2 linked regions of the Diceros bicornis minor genome follow. The protein of the gene in region 2 interacts with the protein of the main gene of each other region in a pairwise test. Links are inferred from orthologs where the notes say so. Each region holds a gene or a part of one and is shown on either strand. Other genes may lie near its edges. The genes, in order: ISCU and HPRT1.

Region 1 (10,417 bases), on a different chromosome or scaffold from region 2:
TTTCCCAATTCCACTAAATCCACTAAATTATGCTTCAAGCTCTGGAAACTCAGATGGGAGGATCTCAAGGTCAAAGAAAGGCCCTCTTCCCCCAGTGTCTGATGACGACTCACAGCGCCCTAAGGGCCAGGTCCTGGGAGCACAGGGGCCTTGTTCCCTCATCTCCCCTCTCCCTCAGGATAATGCTTGACAAACCCCTGCAGGGTCCCCTCCTGCCAGAACAGGATAGGTCCGTGCTCCTATCCGAACAGGATAGGAGCCTGCCAGCCAGAGGGCCCTGAGCCTCAGGAAGCAGGTAGCTCGAGGCCGGGCACACCGCTCTGCTGTGGAGCGGCCCAGCGCCCCAAGCCATGACTCAGCTTCCTGAACTTGGAGCCCTGGGGCCGCAGAGACGAGGACCCTGCAGTCTGGCTTTCCTGAGAGGTTTTAATAACAACCGGACTTTAGGAAGTCTAGCTCTTCGCTGGGTTTGGGACCTTCTACCTTTGCAGCTGCCGGGGAGAGGCTCTGGCAGAGAAAAGGATGGAAAGGATGTTCCAACCTTTCTTATCTCCCCACTCAGAGGGCTGCCAATCAGCCACTGGGATCACTGTTCTGATTTATTTGCTCACTTTGCCCCCACCCTCACTGTGTTTTTATTCTCCAATCCTCTTTAGCACAGGCTACTTGTTATTTCATGATCCTTGTGAGCCATCTGCAATCCTTCCTGGAACATCATGGAAAGAAATAAACAAGAAAACAAACCACTAAACAATACCCTCCTCGGACTTAGACTTCTAAGAAGTTATAACAACGTCAGCAACCTTGGAGAAAGGCAAAGATTTCTTTTCAGTTCTATTTTGTTAGAGGGAGACATGAGGATCTTTTTTCTATCTAATTAAAAACAAAACACCACCAAAATCTCCAAACAAATAAAAATGACCACCACCAACAAAAACCCCAAAAAACTAAAAAGCACTTAACAAAATTATCCATAATTCCCAACACAGAGAAGAATTTAATCACACTCTGGGTAGGAGAAATTAAAAAAAAATTCTTAGAATGATATTTTGAAAAAATCATAGTTACTTTTTTTCACTCACTAGACCCTTCCCTTAACTGAGAGCCAGGTTTGTGGGGAATTCGATTTACTTGCCGTCCAATTGGCAAGCAACCTTACCGTCTTCCCTTTTACCCATTCGGTGGCTAATGAGCTGGAGGCAATGGCAGAACCACAGCCAAATGTTTTAAACCTGGCGTCCACGATCTTCCCCTTTTCATCCACTTGAATCTAGAAAAGAGACAGGAGTTAGGCAGTGATTCCTGAGATGCCCTGTAGAACCTGGCCCTCACCGAGGTTCACCGGGGCTCTCCCCAAGAGCTGTGGTCTTTCTTTCCACACTAAGTTTTGGCACTAATTACCGCGCTTGCTTTGTTTCAAAGAGCTCAGTGAGGAAAAGTTAAACGTGGGAACAACTATACAGAATTATACAGGCTTAGCTGGTAAAGATGAGCTGAAAAATATGCCCCCTCCCTAGTTTTTTTTGCAATGCTAGCCTGCTTTTTGGCTATGAAGTTCTGCTCACAGCTGCTGGGTCAGTCTGCCTCTTTAAGCACTGGGACGGTCTGCACTAAAGGTCTCTGGTTATTGCTTTTTTCTTGGCACCAAGTTACCTTTAGTGGTTCCCTCCTGCCTTGTTTCTGTTTTCCAAGATAAGCATGAAAACCTCTGGCAAGGTGCCCACCCACCATGATGAAGTAGATTGTGCATAAAGCTACGGTTTCCCCAAAGTGCCAATCACTACCTTCAGGTTGTTGCCAATTTGGGGGAGGTTTGATTTATTACATTTCTTGTCTCACTGAGGGTGGCTAGCTGAACGGTTGTGGTTTTCCTTCGATCAGTAAAATTCATAAAAACTTTACTTCGCTGAAGCTGGAATTTAAGCTGATCCAGTGACTAGAAAAGGGAGATCAGTTTACTATATCAGAAAGGGTCAGCACAGTCTACTAGCAGGGGGACTAGCATTCAGTCCTTGCTCTGACAATTTATAACACTGACTCACCCCATCTCACAGGAATCAAGATGGAGTCTGCACGAAATGCTGTGTGTGCGCATGCTTTGTAAACAGTGAAGCTCTGTGTAAGCAAAGGGGTCACTGTTATTCACATTCAAGATCAAAACCGGTCCTACCTGTAGTTTCATTACATCACCACACGCTGGAGCCCCCACCAATCCAGTTCCCACATTTTTAGATGTCTTGTCAAGGGACCCCACGTTTCTAGGATTTTCATAATGATCAACAACCTGAAACGAAAGGTTGAGAGCAATCATGACTCTTTTTTGGTACTGGTCTCCCCGACTTGACAGTAAGCTCCCGGAAGTCGGCAGGCTGAACCTGGCAGGCGATCACTAAATCCCAAATTTCACCCTGGTAGGAAGGCTTACACCTCTGTCAATGACAACCATTTGCGACCCAAAGTCTTTCTGTATCTCCTCTCCAACTACCTTCAGAGATTTGAGATACGAGAGAAAAACCAGCCAAATCATGTCTTAATTCCACAGGGTTTTTAACCACACATAATTACTTGACCTTTAACCACCTACGTCACCAGATTTGGGCTCAAACAGTATTTTTGTTATTTCCAAATAAAATCCATTTTTAAAGGTTAATGATTACTATTCAAAAATTCTAAAAATAAGTACGGGTCAGAAATGTAAGGCTTTCCCAGAGCCTCAAGGAGACTGTTACAGAAGGAACAATGCTATGGACCCTGTGCATTTGTGTACGATGATAACATCAGGCCTGTTTCTGTATTTCAGGGCCCTGAAAGCCCCCCGGTGCAGCAGCGCCCCCTGGTGGCTGGAAGGCTGCTAGCTCGAACTCATTCAGCGTGAAATGTCAACAAAACACACCCCCGGGAGGCGGAGGAGGGAAGTCCTTGGCATCGTGAAGCCAGAAGCGAATAAATCTCTCTTCACACTGGCACACACGCTTTAATAGCCTTGGGTCCGTTTACCAGTTAGCTCTAAGTATCCCGATCTTCCAGTCTCCTTTCCCCCACCTCTCCGACCACGGACTCGGACTCCAAGCCCAAGGACCTACAAGGTCATGTCCAATCTGGACTTTCTGCCCCATGTTGATGTACGGCATTCTTCGCTTAGTTTCCGGAGTCAAAGAATCTCACGTCTAGGGGACTTTACGCCCCCAGAAGGCAAGGGCTGTAAACGTTGCGCCTATTCCTCTCCCCCTCCCCCCACGAAAAAACCAAAACATACATAAAAACATTATGACTGCTGGTTACGTGTCCGACTCCGCTCAGAGGCTCCTTCCTACCACAGTAACAGCTGCGGCACCATAAACGGTCCCCGTGTGCTAGGCATCACGCCGAGGACTCCACGAGCATCACCTCGCGTAGATCTAGAAGTGCTAAGACCCCCATTTTACAAATGGGGAAAAGGGCTCGGCGAGGGGCAGTGACTTGCCCAAGGTCACTGGGCCCGGGCAGTGGCCTGGCTGGAGCCGGTGTGCGTGTCTGGCCCCGGATGCGGCTGGCAGGTCCCAACAGGCCCCCGACTGTTGGGAAGTTAAAGGCCGGGACGCGAGACCCCGCGGCGGGCGGCGGGCCCCGGGCGGCGGCGGCTCCACGAGCCGCAGCCGGTGCTTGCTTCAGGCGGGTTAGCGTTCCTGCGCAGCGAGGGGCAGGGTCGAGCGAGGGGGCGGCCCCTCCGTCCGGGGCCGGGCGCCGCCCCTTCCCCCGCCGTAGCAGGGGCTCCCCGGCCGCGCAGAGCCCCGCGGCCACTCCTCCCTGGGCTGGGCCTCCGCCGGCACGCCCGGGGCCCCTCGGCGGTCGTCGCACTCCCGCCCCCCCGGCCGGCGCGGGCCCTGCGCGCCCCCTCGCCCGCGCCCACCTTCTTGTGATAGAGCCGGGCCGGAGCTGACAGCTCCCGGGCGGGCAGGCGCGGGCTCCGCAGCAGCAAGGCCGACGCCGCCCGCCTCAGACGGCCCGCTCCAGCCGCCGCCATCTTGCGGGCTTGCGCCTGCGCAGGCCGAGCGCGAGACCGAGGGGTGGGGTGCGCCCGCAAGTCGGCTCCCAGCTCGGAGCGCGCTTCCTCCTACGTCACCGCGACGTCGCGCCTGCGCCCTCTCGCTCCGTGCACGTGTCCGCGCTTGGGCCCCGCCCCTCAGGGCGGGCGGGGCTCGGAGCTGGGAGCTGTGGGGTCGCAGGCGGGTTTGTTCTCGGCGCTGGGCTCTGTATCTGCTAGGATCTCAGCTTCCTGGAGTGCGGGACCTACGTTCGCGTTCACAAAGCCCACCGCCGGAATACGGCGCAGAGCATCACCTAGTCCACCTTTCTTCACTCTGTTTTGCAGCTTAGGAAGTTGAGGTTCAGAGCGACTTAGTAGCTTGTCTGAGGTTGCCCAGAGTTTGACTCAGTGGGGATTCAAACTCGAACAATCCTGTTAGAATCCCGGTTCTGCTTCTTCCTGGCTGTGTGACTGTAGGCAAATGACATCAGCTTTCTAAGCCTTGATCTTCTCTTTTGTACTAAGTCAAGGCCAATTTTTTCATCCATTGAGCAGATATGTGTTCAGTACCTATCATATGTCAAGGCGCTATACTAATAGGCTTTGGGGATCCAACGGAAAGACATAGTCCCTGCTCCATTAAGCTTGCTAACGAAGGAGGAAGGCAATAAATGAACACGCCAATACTTTCCTACCTCAAAAATGGGAAGCTTAATTAGGAAGGAAACGAACACCATGCCCTGATTAACAGAAAAATGCGTATATTTATGTCCGCGTCTATTTCAATATAAAGCAAACTGGCACAATTTATATGACAATACCTGGCAGTGAAGAGTTTCTGAATAAATGTTTAGTCATGTAATTTATTAATATTGGTTTGCAGAATACGGTCTTAGAAAACGAGAAATCTCGCACGTGTTATTTAACGCCTGCTAGGCACCAGGCATTACATAAAGGGGAGGAATCTCTTTGGGAAATGGATTTTTCTCGTGGATGGTGCAATCGATACTTCCCAGAGGACTCGGAGGTTTCTCTGCGTTTGACGCTCAGTTGCTGGGGAGACTGAACCACGCGCCAGGTTAGACGCAAGCAAGGCGTTTATCCCAAGAATCATATTGACCTTCTCAAGATGGCTCCAAACCCTTAACCACAGTCATCACGCTCCCTCCATGACGTCCTCTAATGGCCTCCACTTCCGGTCCAAAGACCCATCTTCTGTCCGAAGTTGTGGCCGTACATATGCCATATTATTAAGCTTCTTTCTCTGAAAAAAACTTTTACAAGTATATAAAAACAATGTGAGTGGCGTGTATTTAGAGATTTTTCCATCACCCGAAGCTCACAGTTTCCCTTTGAGTGGCAAGAGTGCGGGGTTTTGATCAGGCACGCGCCGCGGGCAGCTTCTACTTCTGCGGGTCTTCGGCGGCCGCGTGAGGACCCGAGAGTCACTGGAAGCGCAAGATGGCGACCGCGGCTGCAACATCGGCTTCGGAACCGGAGGCTGAGCCCAACGCTGGGCCCAAGGCCGAGGGAGAGGAGGAGGAGGTGAAGGCGGCTAGGACGCGGAGGAAGGTGTTATCGCGGGCTGTGGCCGCTGCGACGTGCAAGACCATGGGGCCAGGGTGGGACCAGCAGGAGGAGGGCATGAGCGAGAGCGATGGAGACGAGGAGTACGCCATGGCTTCCTCGGCGGAGAGCTCCCCCGGGGAGTACGAGTGGGAGTACGACGAAGAGGAGGAGAAGAACCAGCTGGAGATCGAGCGGCTGGAGGAGCAGGTGCGCCCGGGGGTGGGCGGCGGGCTCCTTCCCTCGCGTCCCCGGGCCCCGGCCCGCCTCCGTGGTCCTGAGCGGGAATAAAGACGCCGAGGCCGCAGAACCGCTATCGTCACCGCAGCTCCTGTCGTTGGAGCGCTTCCCGCTGGCCCCGTGCTTTGCAAGCGTTATCCCACTGAACCCTCGCAAGGACCCCGCGAAGGAAGGGGCGTATTCCCCGTTTTACGGGAGGAAACAGGCTCCTCGTGGAGAGAATTCTCAGGCTCAAGATCACACTTCCTGCAAGTGGCGAGTCAGGTCTTGAACTTTGAACCGACTCCAGCACTCCCACTCTTCACCACACCGTTAGGCTATGCCCAGCAGTAGAAATAAAATTCGCTTCGTAAGAGAGGGTTATTTTTCTGTAGGAATGATGATAATGCTGAAATGTGGCGTGGCAGAAAATGTTGACCGTGACGACGATCACAGAAATAGAAGGGTGGGGATTTCAGCGTCTGGAGGCGAAGGCCCCAGTTCTAGCTCTTCCACGCCTGTACGTGCTTGGGCACGTTGCTTAGCTTCTCTGAGCCTTGGCTTCCTCATCTGTAAATTGGGAGTAGCAATTCCTGCACCATGTAAACGACATAACGGTAATATAATTCAGTGGGGGGCACCTAGTAGTGACGTGACTTCTAATCTGTGACTTTATGAGATACAGGTGGTGGATCTCCTGTGTAATCCAGGATCCCAGCAGGAAATAGGTGGTGCATTCAAATTAGGATAATTTGAGAAAAGGTCAATAAAGGGACTACTGTGTTTGTAAAGGTGTGGGCAGGGACATCAGGAATGAAGGTTAGCACTTAAGAACTAATAACAGCAGGACCTTGTGTCCACTTTTAGGCCTGAAGGAGTGAGGGGAGTGCCTGGTTTTCTGAATAGCTGGGTGGGAGGGCACCTGAGAGGAGCTAAGACTTTTGGGCAAGGGATGCGGCCCCAGTTTCCTATCAGAGATTGAGGTGGGGGAAGAAATACCCTCACCTCCCTCTCTTCCTCTCCAGACATCTCCCGGTGCCTCCTACTGGGCAAACTCTGCTGGAAGCAGGAGAGCCAGGAAGCCCATTGATATGGTCCACACGGTGGCGGTGGGGGTGGCGGGGGCACAGGACAGCGTGGAGGGGGTGGAGTGGATTTGGAGGGGCAAACGGAAGAGATCTAGCACCTTCTCAGTTTACAGATGAGGAAACAGAGGCTCAGCACAAATGATGAAATGATTTGCTTAAGGTCACTCATAAGGGGATTTGAACTTTTCAGGGTTGTCTGTGGACCAGATGCCACTCTGGATGTGAAATCACTTAGTGATGTGAAGGTTCCTCACTTAAGCTTGCTGGGTGTGAGTTTGCTTATAATGTCCTCTCTGACTGTGATATATTTGTCAAGTTATGGAGTAGTGATATCATCCATTGGTATAGCTTGTCCCACTCGTCGTCATATCTGATTGTCACGGGAACCAGTTGGGGTAGGCAGGTGGTTACCACTTCTGCTTCTTTTAAAGAAGTTTGCTGATGATCGTTCAGTCTTTTGCTCGTTCAGCAAATACAGTGTGATATGGAGTGCCAGACTGGCGTGTCCCTGTCATTATGGTGCACGTCTGTTCTTCAGACTTGGAGTCTTGGGCCTTTCAGTGAGCCATTAGCTCACTTGGACCTTACTATTCTGTGAGGTAGAGGAAATAGGATAACCTGTTTTAGTGGGAAGGGGAGGCCTGGAAGCAGAGAAGTCCTTAATGAGGGTACCCAGCTTACTAGGAAGGAGGATGGATCAGAGCAGAGGTCTCCTGGTGCTCTGCAGTTGCCTGCCCTGCCTCAGGCCACTGAGGCTGGGCTGGAGCTCTGAAGGTGACCACACAGGAGGGGACCTGGCCAGTGATGGTGAATTGAAGAGCCTCTGGCCTTATTCTCTTTGTCCTGGGTCTAGAAATGGACTTTTCCAATTTTTCCAAACCTCCCTTGGATCTCACAGCTTCTACTTCCTGCTGTAGTTGCTTTTATGGCTGAGCATAATGATGAATAACTTACAGATAGGTCTGTGAGAAATTCGGCCTTGCTATATTTGAGAATTCCGGTTCTCATCCCTAGGTGTGTTTTATGAAAGCTTGAAAATAGTGTGGTGTCTGTCCGTGTAACAAAAGCAGCGATTTCCCGTTATTTGCGTTTGGTCCTGAAATGAAAAGCCCCCTCGGGCAGATTCGTTAGTGCACCACGGAGCAGTGCAGAGCATGGCTTTGCAGCCGGATGTGAGCTCAAGGCCTCTGCTCAGTAGTGGAAAGACTTCGTGCACAGTATTTCAGCTCTCTGGGTCTGCGGGGTCCCAGGTGGGAAAATGAGGGTTATAGTAGTCCCTCCCTTACAGGGCTGTTGTGCAGTTTAAGTGACACGATGCGCATTACGCTCCTGGCACAGTTTGGCACGTGGGTGCTATGCCAGGGCCTGTGTGACACAGACCTGCTCTGTGCTCTGTTCTCCTGTCCCCGCCTTTCCCTGATCGCAGCAGCTGGGTCCTTTCCATCAGGCCCATCTGTTACCTCTCCACGCTAATTCCAGGGAGTTAGGAAGTCAGCAGGTCACTTCGTGCATTGGCCAAGCCCCCTCTTGCTGTAAAGCATCCTTTGTCATTAATGATGTTCTGAGTCTGGAATAGACCAGCATATGCACTCGTTTGTCAGTGCCGAGTGAACTCTGGAGATGTCTCTTACTGCATTTCAGTGTGCATTTAATATACATACTTTCAGAGCACCTCCCTACATACCGTATCTTCATTTTTGGGCCTAAAAGTCAGAAATTTAGACCAAAAGCCACCTCTTTTTTTTTTTTTTAAAGTCTCTCATTTTTTTTTTTTTTTTTTTGTGAGGAAGATCAGCCCTGAGCTAACATCCATGCTAATCCTCTTCTTTTTGTTGAGGAAGACCGGCTCTGAGCTAACATCTATCGCCAATCCTCCTCCTTTTTTTTCTCCCCAAAGCCCCAGTAGATAGTTGTATGTCATAGTGGCATGTCCTTCTAGTTGCTGTATGTGGGACGCGGCCTCAGCATGGCCGGAGAAGCGGTGTGTTGGTGCGCGCCTGGGATCCGAACCCGGGCCGCCAGCAGCGGAGCGTGCGCACTTAACCGCTAAGCCATGGGGCCGGCCCCAACCAAAAGCCACCTTAAAGGCAGCTCCTCTACGTAAGTCACTTTTCCAACTTTTTCTTCTGACCCACACGTGGTATCCAGCCGAGGGGCATTTGCACAGACATTCCTCACCCTAACTAGCAAAGACCCTCCCACCCCCCTTCATGCTCCGAACACATGCTCAGACCCAGGTGCGTCGAGAGTGGGGGGGTAACAGGGAGGACCTGGAATGTTCTTTATTGTGGAAAGTACATCTTTCACCAGCTTCCCTTCTTTAACTTTTGTTACTTATGCGACGCACTTGACAGTCAGTTTTGGAACATGAGTGTCCTGACTTGAGAACCAGAGGTCTGCTCCAGCTCCTTCGTGTTGCAGGGAGGACACTGAGGAGCAGTGGAGGTGAGAGCGCTGTGTCCTGACCTAGTCCAGTGCGTTTTCAAACCGCCCCCCCCCACCCCTCGACAAGTGGTTAGCTTGTCGAGTTTTATAAGTCATGAGCAGAGCATTGCTAAAAGTCTTAAGATTTAAAAAAAAATTACGTCATGCTGTTATCAGTTATCGATTCTTCTTTATTATCTTTTTGCATGGGCGTTGATACATACAGAGCAGTTTACGTCTATAAATTATAGGATATGGTAATCAAATGAACACCACTCACCCCACCGGTCGGTCTAAGAGGACTTTGCTGGTACTGTTGTGTGCACCTGTGGCTTCTCTCCTGTTGCTCTGCCTTGCCCCTCCCCTTACCCCCTCCTAAACCCAGGTAACTACTTTCTTGAATCTTGTGTGCTTCCTTCTCTTTTAAAACAGGTATAGTTTTATCACCTAGGTGTGCATCCCTAAGCAGTATATTGTCCACTTTTGTTCATTTTTGAGCTTTTTAAAAAGTGTATCATGCTATATGTAATCTGAGACTGCTCTCCACTCAGCAATATGTCTCTAAGATTTATTTATGCTACTTGTAGCTGCAATTCATTCCCTTTGACTACTGTGTACAGTCATGTGTTGCTTAGTGACGGGGATATGTTCTGAGAAATGTGTCATTAGGCGATTTCATCCTTGTGTAAACATTATAGAGTACTTACACAAACCTAGGTGGTATAGTCTCCTGCACACCTAGGCTACATGGTACTAATCTCATGAGACCACTGTTGTATATGTGGGCCGTCATTGACCAGAACGTTATGTGGCACCTGACTGTATTTAGTGTACCATTGTGTGGGTATCTCACAGTTTATCAGTTCTTCTGGCATTTGGATTGCTTAGTTTTTTTCTTTTTCCTATCACAAACAAGCTACAAGGAACATTGTTCCTGGTGAACTGTGCCACTATTGAACATGTATAAGAGTTTTTCTAAGTCAAACTGGGGTTATGGTCACAGGTCATGAGTTCATTTTAGTGGATACAACCAGTGCCACCTGTGTCGTATATTTTCCTTCTGTGTGGGTCTGTTTCTGGGCGTTCTCGTTTGTTCTGTTGGTCTGTTTGTTTG
Region 2 (10,580 bases):
GGCAGATACCGCCTTAGCTAAGAAATCCAAATTAGGGGCCGGGCCGGTGGCACAGCAGTTAAGTTCACGCACTCCGCTTAGGCGGCCTGGGGCTCACCGGTTCAGATCCTGGGCGCGGACCTAGGCACAGCTCATCAAGCCATGCTGAGGTGGCGTCCCACATAGAAGAACTAAAAGGACCTACAACTAGGATATGTAACTATGTACTGGGGGCTTTGGGGAGAAAAAAGAAAAAAAGGAAGATTGGCAACAGATATTAGCTCAGGGCCAATCTTCCTCAAAAAAAAAATACAAATTAATATCAATAATGGGACAAGTCAATAGCATGTGCCTCCTAATATGAAGCACTGTGAAGGACACACCATCGCTACTGTTGTATTTCTGGCCCAGAATGGAACGCCTGAAATTTAATGATGTAACGTCAGACAAACCCAAATTGTGGGAAATTCTACAGAATAACTGGCCAGTGCCCTTCAAAAATGTCTAGTCATGACAAAGACTGAAGAACTGTTCCAGAATGGAGACTGAAGGAAATGCAACATGTGCTACTAGATTGGATCCTGGTCCAGAAAAAGAACATTAATGAGACAATTGGTGAAATTTAAATGAGTTCTAGATTAGTTAATACTGTTATATCAATGTTAATTTCCTGAATTTGATCATTGTGCTGGGTGTGGTTATATTGAATGTTAACACTGGGGAAGGGTATACTGAAAATGTTGAGAGAGAAAACAAGAAGAAATAGGGAAGTAGGAGATTGAGGAGGGTGGTGTCCCAGAAGCCAAAGAAATAGATTCAAGAACAAAGTGGTAAATAGTTTCAAAAGGAATAGCAAGGACAGTTATATAAGGCCAAAAATAGTGTCCATTGGATTTGGCAAGATAGCTGTCAATGGTGTTCTTTGTCAAAGCTGTTTCAGTACAATGGTGGGTGCAGAAGACAGACTGCAGTGAGTTTGTTGAGGAAGAAATGAGAAGTGAGAAAATGGATAGAGGAAGCATGGAGGGACTCCTCACCTCTGGGCCTGGAGGAAAGAGGGCAAGAAGCAGTGTAGATGTGGATACAAGGGAATTGATGTGGTTCATGCCTGATTCTTTCAATATCTTCATAAGTTAATGAGTTGAGTCTGTATTTCTGGAGTGAGGATGATGGGGTTGAATGGGGACAAATGTTAAGAACATTCCTGAGGAGAATAAGAGGGGGAGCTGACCAAGGGCTTGTAAAGGATTGTGGAGGGGTGTTTAGGGCCCAGTTGAGCTTTGAGACCATGAATCTTTTAGAGAAACCAATCTCCATTGTTGTAGGATTTTCTCCAGCAGCACTCTGCAGCCTAGTAGGGGTAGACAAAACAGGCTGTGGGGTTGAACCAGGGAGTGGCTGTGCCATCTTGGCAGAGCAGAATTAGAAGGGCACAAAGGACTTCCGGCAGTTGGTGAGAGAGTGGTTTCAGGTAGGATCCAAACTGAACTGGGAAGTAAAGGAAGTAAGGGAAGCCAGGAGCAGGGTGATAGACCATAGAATTGGAGATCTCCCATGAATCTGAGGCACCATTATGCTAGGCAGGGTGGCCAAAGAGAACTGGAGAGAAGAAAATTGTGGTCAGAGATTGGGATACTGCAGTTTAAGAGCTGCCATCAGCAGCATTGGGAAGCACCCCCCACACTGGCCCTATACCATTGTAGGGGGACTACACATTCCAGTTTGCCCAGGACAGTCCAGTTTGTGTCTGTTATGCTGGCATCTTGACCAATTTAGCATTTGTCCCAGATTTTTCACTTTCCCATGAAATGTAAGTATTAATAGTTGAATTGAAATAAACCAGGATGGGTCTGTTGAACCACCACTTTTTAGTTCCAGCTTCAACCTTGGTCTCGTCTACTAGCTTGTGAGATGCATATACAAAGAACCAAGTTCTCACTTTAATACAGAGTTAAACCTAAACGACAACCAGTGATAACCCTTCTCCCTTTTCCTAATCTTTTCCAAATGCAATATAACTAACACCTCCCTCTCAAGGACGGCGTGCTGGGCATTCACTGATAACAAAGCAAGTGTACTCAGACGCTAGGAGTTAGAGACAACGGACTCATTCTTGTCCCCGGGTTGCGGGGGATGGGGAGGAGTATTCACCATTGTGCCCCTTGCTGGACACTGGGTGTGCCAGCCAAGGCCAAAGCCTGCAAGATACGTGAAGCTGCCAGGCCACCAGTCGGTAGGCCAGTGGATGTAGGAAATTACATATTTACGTGTATGTAAAATATTTTCAGGAAATATAGAGGCTGAGGAGTCCTGCCATAGAACATACGGCCAGTAGTCTGAATGCTCTTGGTACAATGGCTATGTCATTCATTATATGGTGCAAATCTACAACCCTTTATTTTTTTAAAATTTGCAGTCCACCCTTTCAGCAGGTGAGTCCAAAAACTAAAGTGCATAATTAATGAAAAATTAAATACCGAATTTGTTACTCAAGAAACTTGATCATGAATGTGTAACATGAACAAAACATTTGTTGACATTTATCATACCCACGAGCATGGGGCACATTGGTATCCCTGACCACATGAAAACCAGAAGGTATAAATCTGCGGAGACAGCATCAGCATCTACCTCAAAGGTTTGTAGTCATTTTAAGAAGACTGGGCCCAAAGATGATGATTTAGCGGGGTGCAGCTGCAGAGAGGGTATTAACACATATTGCTCTGTGAGTGACTTTTGTTTAGAACAAATGACTTTTCTTCAAAATTCATTTGCTCATTTTTATTTCAAGTTTTCTCGTACATGGCGAAAAGTGAAGTGATAGCTTTTAATGAGTAGCTCTCTCAGCAAAAGAACTTCACAAACAGCTAAATGATGCCAGTTTTGTATTGATATCATTAGATGCTTCAAATAGAAAATCAGTTGTATTAGTCAGAGTTCTGCAGAGAAACAGAACTAACAGAATGTGTGTGTATATATGTATAAAGACAGAGAGAGAAAGGGATAGAGAGAATTTATTTTAAGGAATTGGCTCACGAGATTGTGGAGGCTTGGCGAATCCAAAATCTCACGGAGTAGGCCGGCGGACTGGAGGTTGAGGGAAGAGCTGCAGTTCCAGTCCAAAGGCAGCCTGCTGGCTGAATTGCTTCTTGCATGGGGAGGTCAGCTTTTGCTCTATTCAGGCCTTCAAATAATTGGATGAGGCCCACCCACATTATGGAAGGTAATCTGCTTTACTCACAGTCCACTGATTTAAATGTTAATCTCATCCAAAAAACACCTTCACAGAAACATCCAGAATAATGCTTGACCAAATATCTGGGCACTGTGGCCCAGCCAAGTTGACACATACAAGTAACCCTCACATTAGTTTACTTCCAGTAATGGTTCAATCTTTCATCTAATTCATGGAATCAAAGTAAAGCTTATGGAAATTTATTCTGATGAAAGTGAAACACCTGACATTATTGAGAAAGCTATTGTAAATTCAGCTTAAAAATTCAACATTTAGGATAAGTATTTTTGCGGTTAAAATTTTTTTTCATAGAAATGCACATTTTGGTGGAGCACAGCACCATGGTAAAAACAAAGTTCTTACTAAATGAAGAAACATGTGGAGCAGAAATATACTTGGAATTGGTTGTGGTGCACAAATAATTCCTCATTATGTGCAAACATGTAGACTACAAAATTGTTTCTGGAAAGGCAGGAGTGGGGAAGGGGAATCTTGGTTTATACCCATGCTTTCCTTATTTCTTCCTGCGTGCAGATATTCTAGTAAAGAACAGTGGCATACCTAGCATATTTGATAGCCAGAGTAGATCATTTTTTTTTATGTTTTTTTTTTTTTTGAGGAAGATTGGCCCTGAGGTAACATCTGCGAATCCTCCTCTTTTTTTTGCTGAGGAAGACTGGCCCTGGGCTAACATCCATGCCCATCTTCCTCCACTTTAATATGGAACGCCTGCCACAGCATGGCCTGACAAGCGGTGCGTCGGTGTGCGCCCGGGATCTGAACCAGCGAACCCCGGGCCGCCGCAGCAGAGCGCGTGCACTTAACTGCTTGCGCCACCAGGCCGGCCCCTGGAGTAGATCATTTTTTAACAAAAAAATGACAAAATTATATGACAAATTCATTTTGTCTATATGACAAAATTATTTTCTGTAATAATTAGTAATAACCATTATTTTCTTGATTTCATCTTTAGTTTTAAAACAAAATTTTAAAAGAATACACTTCAATTTTAAATATATTGTCCAAATTCAGTAAAATATTTCATATATGAACCAGATTTTCACTTACCAAACAAAAGTATTACGTCTTACATTGCGCTTTGCTGTTTTAAGTTTTAAACGCAAATAAAAGCTCCAGGTTGTCACACAGAATGACAGGATTTAAATAATAGTACTGTTTGTTTGTCTTTACAATTACTGGGCTATCACTGTTTATTTCAAATCTCTGTTAAAATACAGGAGTATGTGGTACCACAGAGGTTGGAGAAAGAAAGTGCAAGGCAGAAGCAAGCTGGAATGGTTCTGGAAGTGTTGCGGACCTAATTTAGAAACAAGTGTGGTCAGCTGAGTCAGGGGCTGAATTTATAACCGAAAGTTCTCTGAATTAACTTCCCAGTGGAACACAATGTTTGTTAAAAGAGTAAGTAATAAAAATGTGCTGATAGGAACTTCAAAGTCTATACCCAATAGAAATGCATTCATATGTTCACCAAAAGATATGGAAAAAATGTTCACAGCAACACTATTTGTAATAACCCAAACCTGGAAACTGCCGGAATGTCTCATCAACAGGAAGAATGGATAAAAACTTAGAGGCTAAGAATTGTTTAAGGCAAAAATGTGGAGTACATAACATTGGTATTATCATTCATGGAAGCAAGCACTATGCTAGGCCCTTTTGCAATAGTTTGTTTAATCCTCACCATGCGCTGTGACAGAGATATTATCCGCATTTGACATATGAGGAAACTGAGGCACACAGAGGTCAAGGATCCTGCCCAAGGTCATAACACTAGTTAGTGGTGAACTCAGGTGTTTTTTTTTTTTTTTTTTTGTGAGATCGGCCCTGTGCTAACATCTGCCAATCCTCCTCCTTTTTTGCTGAGGAAGACTGGCCCTGGCCTAACTAATCCATGCCCATCTTTCTCTACTTTATATGGGATGCCGCCACAGCATGGCTTGCCAAGCAGTCCATCCGTGCGTGCCCCGGATCCGAACCGGTGAACCCCGGGCTGCTGCAGCGAAGCGCGCGCACTTAACCGCTTGGGTCACTGGCCAGCCCCTGAACTCAGGATTTGAACTCAGATCTTTCTCAGTCCAAAGCCCACATGTACCTTTTCCGTTATAGTCTGTCGCCTCTCCGTGATAGATAGGGAACATAGAGAAATTGAGTTCACAATTCACACACACGAAAATTATAACTGCTATTATTTCTTGAGCACCTACTATGTGGCAAGTACTATGCTAGGTGCTTTACATAAATGATTTTTACAATTCTCATAATAACCCTTCACAGCAAGAATTGCTCTTCTCATTCTTTAAATGAAGAGACTGAAGCGCAGAGAAATTCGATGACTTGCCCAGTTTCACAAATCTCCTACCATCACATATCCCTCAGTGGTCTTAATAGAGGCCACCAGCTCTGTGCTGGGCACTGTAGTGGGTGCTGGAGCTATACAGATGAGTACATTAGGAAGGGAACAACTGCTTGCCTGACCTATTTAAGAGCTGAGGAAGATTTTTTTCCAGTTCCATATAGGGAATTGTGGAGGCAAAAATAAAGATCAGTAACAGCGATCGTTCCTATTTACTGATTGTGCACTGTCCTAAGTGCTGTACCAGATATATATACATATATCATTTTTAATCCTCACCACGATCCTGTTAATATCCTCATTTTACTGAGATGAAAAGAGAGGCTCAGTGAGTCTGATTTGCACAAAGTCACAGAGCATTTAAGTGTTCCCTTGTACCCTGATCTGGCTGGCTCTAGGGCTCAACTCTTAAACCAGTTAAAGATTTTTGTTAGAATTGAGTGAGGAAAATGGAAGCCGCAAGGCAGTCCAAGGTCTTGGGAAGGGGACGCCGGCTGAGAGGAACCACGCGGTGACCGGAACCTGAAGAGCGGGCGCCCAGTTGAGGGCCACTAGGAAGACACGCGGGCGGCGGTAGTTCGGGGCATTCGGGAGCCACCTGGCTGGGAGACTGAGGGAAAGGAGGTGTAGAGGCTGCGCAGGCGGAGTCGCCGCTGCTTCCGGAAGAAAACGCCCCCCTACCACCTCGGGAGCGGGAACCGTGTAGGCCTCGGGGGAGGCGCGCGGGGGCGTGCAGGCGGGCGTGGGGCGGAGCCTCGGAGCGGGGGCGGGGCCTGCGTCGCCCCGGCTCCCAGCGCGGCGGTGGCGGCGGAGAACGCTCGCGTGACCCTCGCGGCTTTCCCGCGCTGCGCCGCCGCTTCCTTCTCCTCAGACTGCCGTCAGCCTGCGCGCCGGCTCCGTTATGGCGAACCTCAGCCCCAGTGTCGTGGTGAGCAGCTTGGCCCGCCAGGCCGGTGGCGGCGGCGCCTGGTCCCTGAGGCGCGGGGCCCGCAGTGCGGGCTCGGGCCGGGGTGGCCTGGGGAAGCCCGGGGGCGGGGGGTGGCCGCAGCTTCCCTGGGTCGGCTTTACTATGTCGCCGCAGGGCGGCCTGGGGGACGGAATGGCGAGCTTTGGGGTGGGCGCGTCCCCTGGAGAGCCCCGGACAAGAGGGCTGCGTGTGGCGAGAGAGAGTGGAAATGGCGTTTTGGTTGACAAGTGCCGCCTGCGAGCGTGCTTGGGGGAGGGGCCGTGGGCCAGTTCGGGAATGATCTGACGGGGTGAGGGTGGCGGCTTTCTCCGGAGAGGGCCTGCTCTGCAAATTTGGGGTGTGGGGGTGAGGTGCTCAGGGCACTGCAGTAGAGGCCCTGGCACGGAAACGACCACATAGGAGGGTGTGTGGGGACGGGTGTCTTCATCTAGTCCTGCAGATATTAGAATGAATGTTTGTGGGAATGTACATTGCCTCCCTAAATCCTGGCTTGGTGGCGGTAACCATGCCAACCTTTTGACACACCGAGAAAATAGTGAAACGCTATTAGGTCATTTTCCCACGGCCCAGGGGTAGCCAGGCCTCGAATTCAGGTACTCGGGAGTCGGGAGTCTGGATCCTGTGCACTTTGATGCTGCAAGGGACAAAAAAAATGCGAATATGGTCCTTATCCTCAAGGACATTCATACCGTAATCAGCCTTTCGTATCCTGTCTCTAACCACATTGGTTTGTTTTCTTGTTTCTCGAACAAGCCAAGCTGCTCCCCTCCCTCTGTCTCTGATCATGCTTGGTAAAACAGCCAACCCCCCTCTCGACAGTTTAATGCCGTAGCCTGCGTTATTATTATTATTGTTGTTGTTTTAGCAGTTACCTGATTACCTGTTGATTCTCTCTCCCACTAAAATAAACTTTATAAGGGTGGGAATAACCACTGTAACTCCAGTGCCTGGCATGTAAGAAATTCTCCATAATGGTTTGTTGGATGAATAAATAATTAACCACTTGAGCCCTTAAAAGGGAAGAGTTCTATTTTATATTAGGCATTGTGACTTAAGGTAAAGAGTAGGAGTCTGGCCTGGAATCCTGCTTGTTTGGGCTATTTACTAGCTGTGTGGCCTTGGGTAACTTACTTCACCTTTCTGGGCTTAAGTGTCCTTATATATAACTGAGGTGCTAGCTGCCTCGTGGTGTTATTGAAAGGATGATAAGACGGCCTATGTGAGTAAACAACCTTTGCATGGTCCCTGACTGAGAATAGTAATAATAGCTATCATTGTGTTTAACTACATAGTCCTATTGACTCCTCAAAACAACCCTGTAACAGCAGTATGATTATTACTGTTTTAGAGGAGAGGAATCTTGGACGCCTCAGAGAAGTTAAATAACTTAACCTTTTAACATACCCATGTCACACAGTTATTAAGAGGGAGCTCAGACTCGAACCTAGGTCTCTCTCAAGAGCCCATGCACTTAAATGTTAGGCTGATAGTAGGTACTCAAAAATGGTAGGGGCTGTTGTTTTTATTCAATTGCTGAAGAAGTTAGATGCTTTTAGCTTTGGGGTATGATGCCTGCCCCATCATACAGTGAATTATTATTGCTAGAACTGGCTTTTAGTTATGCTTGAACATCAAGATATTCATTGTATTTTTGGTTTGCAAATTCCTGTTCCTTTTTTTATTTCCTTCCAAGAAATTGTCTGCATGTTAGTAATAACAAATATTTAAATAGTGCTTACTATGTGCTGGCTACCGTTCTAAGCCCTTTACATATATTAACTGGTTTGATATTTATTTAAAAAATTTCTGTGGCTCGGAGAGGTTAAGTAACTTGCCCAAAATCTCCCAGCAATGCTAGGATTTGAATTTAAGTTTTCTGGCCCCAGAGTCTGTTCTTACTCTCTCCACTTTTAAGTTAGTAGTGACAATGGTAGGTATTTATTTAGTGCTTACTATGTTTTAGGCATTGAGGTAAGTATTTTGCAGACATTATTTAATGTAAACGTCCCAAAGTTGCATAATAGGTACCCTATGAGGTAGATAAACATTGGTGTGACCTTGGAGGCACAGATTGGTGAAGTAACTTGCCCAACATCACTCAGATGAAATTGGCCCGCAGATCTGCCTGATACAACCCATGCTGCTTGTAACTGTCATATTAAACTGCTAGGGTAAATTTGGACACACTTGAACTAAGAACAAGCTTCTGGATTTTTGCGAATTAATGTGAAACATCAGATATGCATTATGTGGATATAATATAAATTTCAGGGTAGTAGTGTTAGAAATGTATTCTTATACTAACTGGACTTAAATCTTACCCTGCCAGTAATTTTCCAAGAATTGATAAAATAGTGCATTTTCTTTGGCCACAACTCTCTCGTTATTATCAACAGGGTTTGGACTGACATTGGTCACTCACTGTAGACCAAAATTATTGTTCGTAACCACCAAGAAAAGGAGCAGTTCAGTTTGGAGGTTTCATTCTGCAAATTGAGTAATGTGACACGCATACTATAGATCCATCTTAATTGTTTTCTGTCTGTTATTTGTATCTGGGTATTGCAGAAAGTCCCTAGGTAGGCTGTGGGAAAAAAACAAGAGGACCAACCAGATCAGCAGAGAAAGGGCTCCTGGAGTTTTCTGTAGTTTGTTAGGCAGTAACTGATTCATGTCATTTTTTAACTGGGCCCCCTGTGTGAAGAGTTGCTTCAAATGCACTAGTATACTCTTCTTCCTTTCATAATTATATATTGTGTAGATTCAGTAAGATTTATATGCTGTAAAAGTGTCAACCACCATCATTAATATCAATATTGAGACTCGATTGTTATTTTCCTGCCAGTGGCTACCAAAGTACTAACATTTAGAGTAATTCACCACTAATAAGAATTCAAACCAACACTTCAAATTGCTATGGAACTACTATCTTCAACACTATGCTTCTAATAATTGACAGGTATGTATTTTTTTGTCCAGAAGGAACGTGTCATTTCACTGTGCACACTAATAAAAGGAAAGATCATAGTGTTGGATAAATTCATGTCCTTGCATATATAGCAGTTGTGGGCCCACTTACCTAGGAGCAGCTAATAATTTATCCCTGGGTTGAATAGTCAGGTAAACCTTTTAATTCTTTAACCCTTAGGAGGGAGGGCAGGCAAGTTATATACATAATTTATTTGTAAGACTGATATGAAATTGAAAGATATACTACTAGCTTAAATTATTTTCACATTTAGGAATATGTGCATCAGTAATTCATAATTTTGGTTTTATGATGCCCTGAGTTATCACAGATTATCCCAAGGGAATAGCATATTATCTGCTTTGGTGTTTTTTGAGAATTTTAAAATATCTGGATATAAAAGGTAAATGCCACCTAGCAATTTCTGTCCATTCTAGAAGCTTGGAATTGTTGTTGGTTACTAGGAATAAAATAAAATGTAATATATCTACTATTGTATGTCTTTGCATCGCGTACATTTTAAGACTCACTTCCTCACTTCCATTTAGTCTTGTTTGGATGCACGAACATTGTTATTGTTATTATTATTTTCTTAGAGGGCTTCAGTGGCTCTTTATTATTAACTTCTTGTAACCTTGCTCTACATGAGATATGAAGTCATCCAGCAAAGAAGAAATTACCTCCTAAATTATAAAACCAAGGCTATAACAATATCAAAGGCTGGAGAAAATCACATACCCCTTGTTACAAGTGAGGAAGAAATGTCAAATATCATTTATTTTAAAAAATCGTAAAAACATATAAACGTATAAACAACTACTGTCTAAATTTAACAATGTATCAGGTTTCATCCTCTCCACCTTTATCTTTGAATTCCAGTAACTGGTCTGTGGTATAGTATAAAGAACCCTGGTCTGTGAATTAGGAAGTCTGGATTCTAGGCCCCTGTCTGACACTAACTAGCTCTGAGACATTAGGGTCCTTATCTCTAATATCAAAGGTGAGGGTTAAATGGCACTTGAATTACACTCTAGCATACTGGCTTCTTAATTTTGAA

The links.
Region 1: the proteins of HPRT1 (region 2) and ISCU interact in binary tests that used the Homo sapiens proteins (3 or more experiments, as listed by UniProt). The two-hybrid records come from large-scale screens. The link is inferred for Diceros bicornis minor from reciprocal best matches to the Homo sapiens genes HPRT1 and ISCU.

The regions. Positions count from the first base shown.
Region 1 is NC_080774.1:18,770,956-18,781,372, forward strand, and holds the start of ISCU (iron-sulfur cluster assembly enzyme ISCU), read right to left. Parts: upstream 4,019-10,417; 5' UTR 4,004-4,018; coding exon 3,890-4,003; intron 2,285-3,889; coding exon 2,171-2,284; intron 1,271-2,170; coding exon 1,160-1,270; intron 1-1,159. Other genes in the region: SART3 (squamous cell carcinoma antigen recognized by T-cells 3), read left to right, coding at 5,468-5,782.
Region 2 is NC_080781.1:122,364,799-122,375,378, forward strand, and holds the start of HPRT1 (hypoxanthine-guanine phosphoribosyltransferase), read left to right. Parts: upstream 1-6,395; 5' UTR 6,396-6,489; coding exon 6,490-6,516; intron 6,517-10,580. UniProt on the Homo sapiens protein: Converts guanine to guanosine monophosphate, and hypoxanthine to inosine monophosphate. Transfers the 5-phosphoribosyl group from 5-phosphoribosylpyrophosphate onto the purine.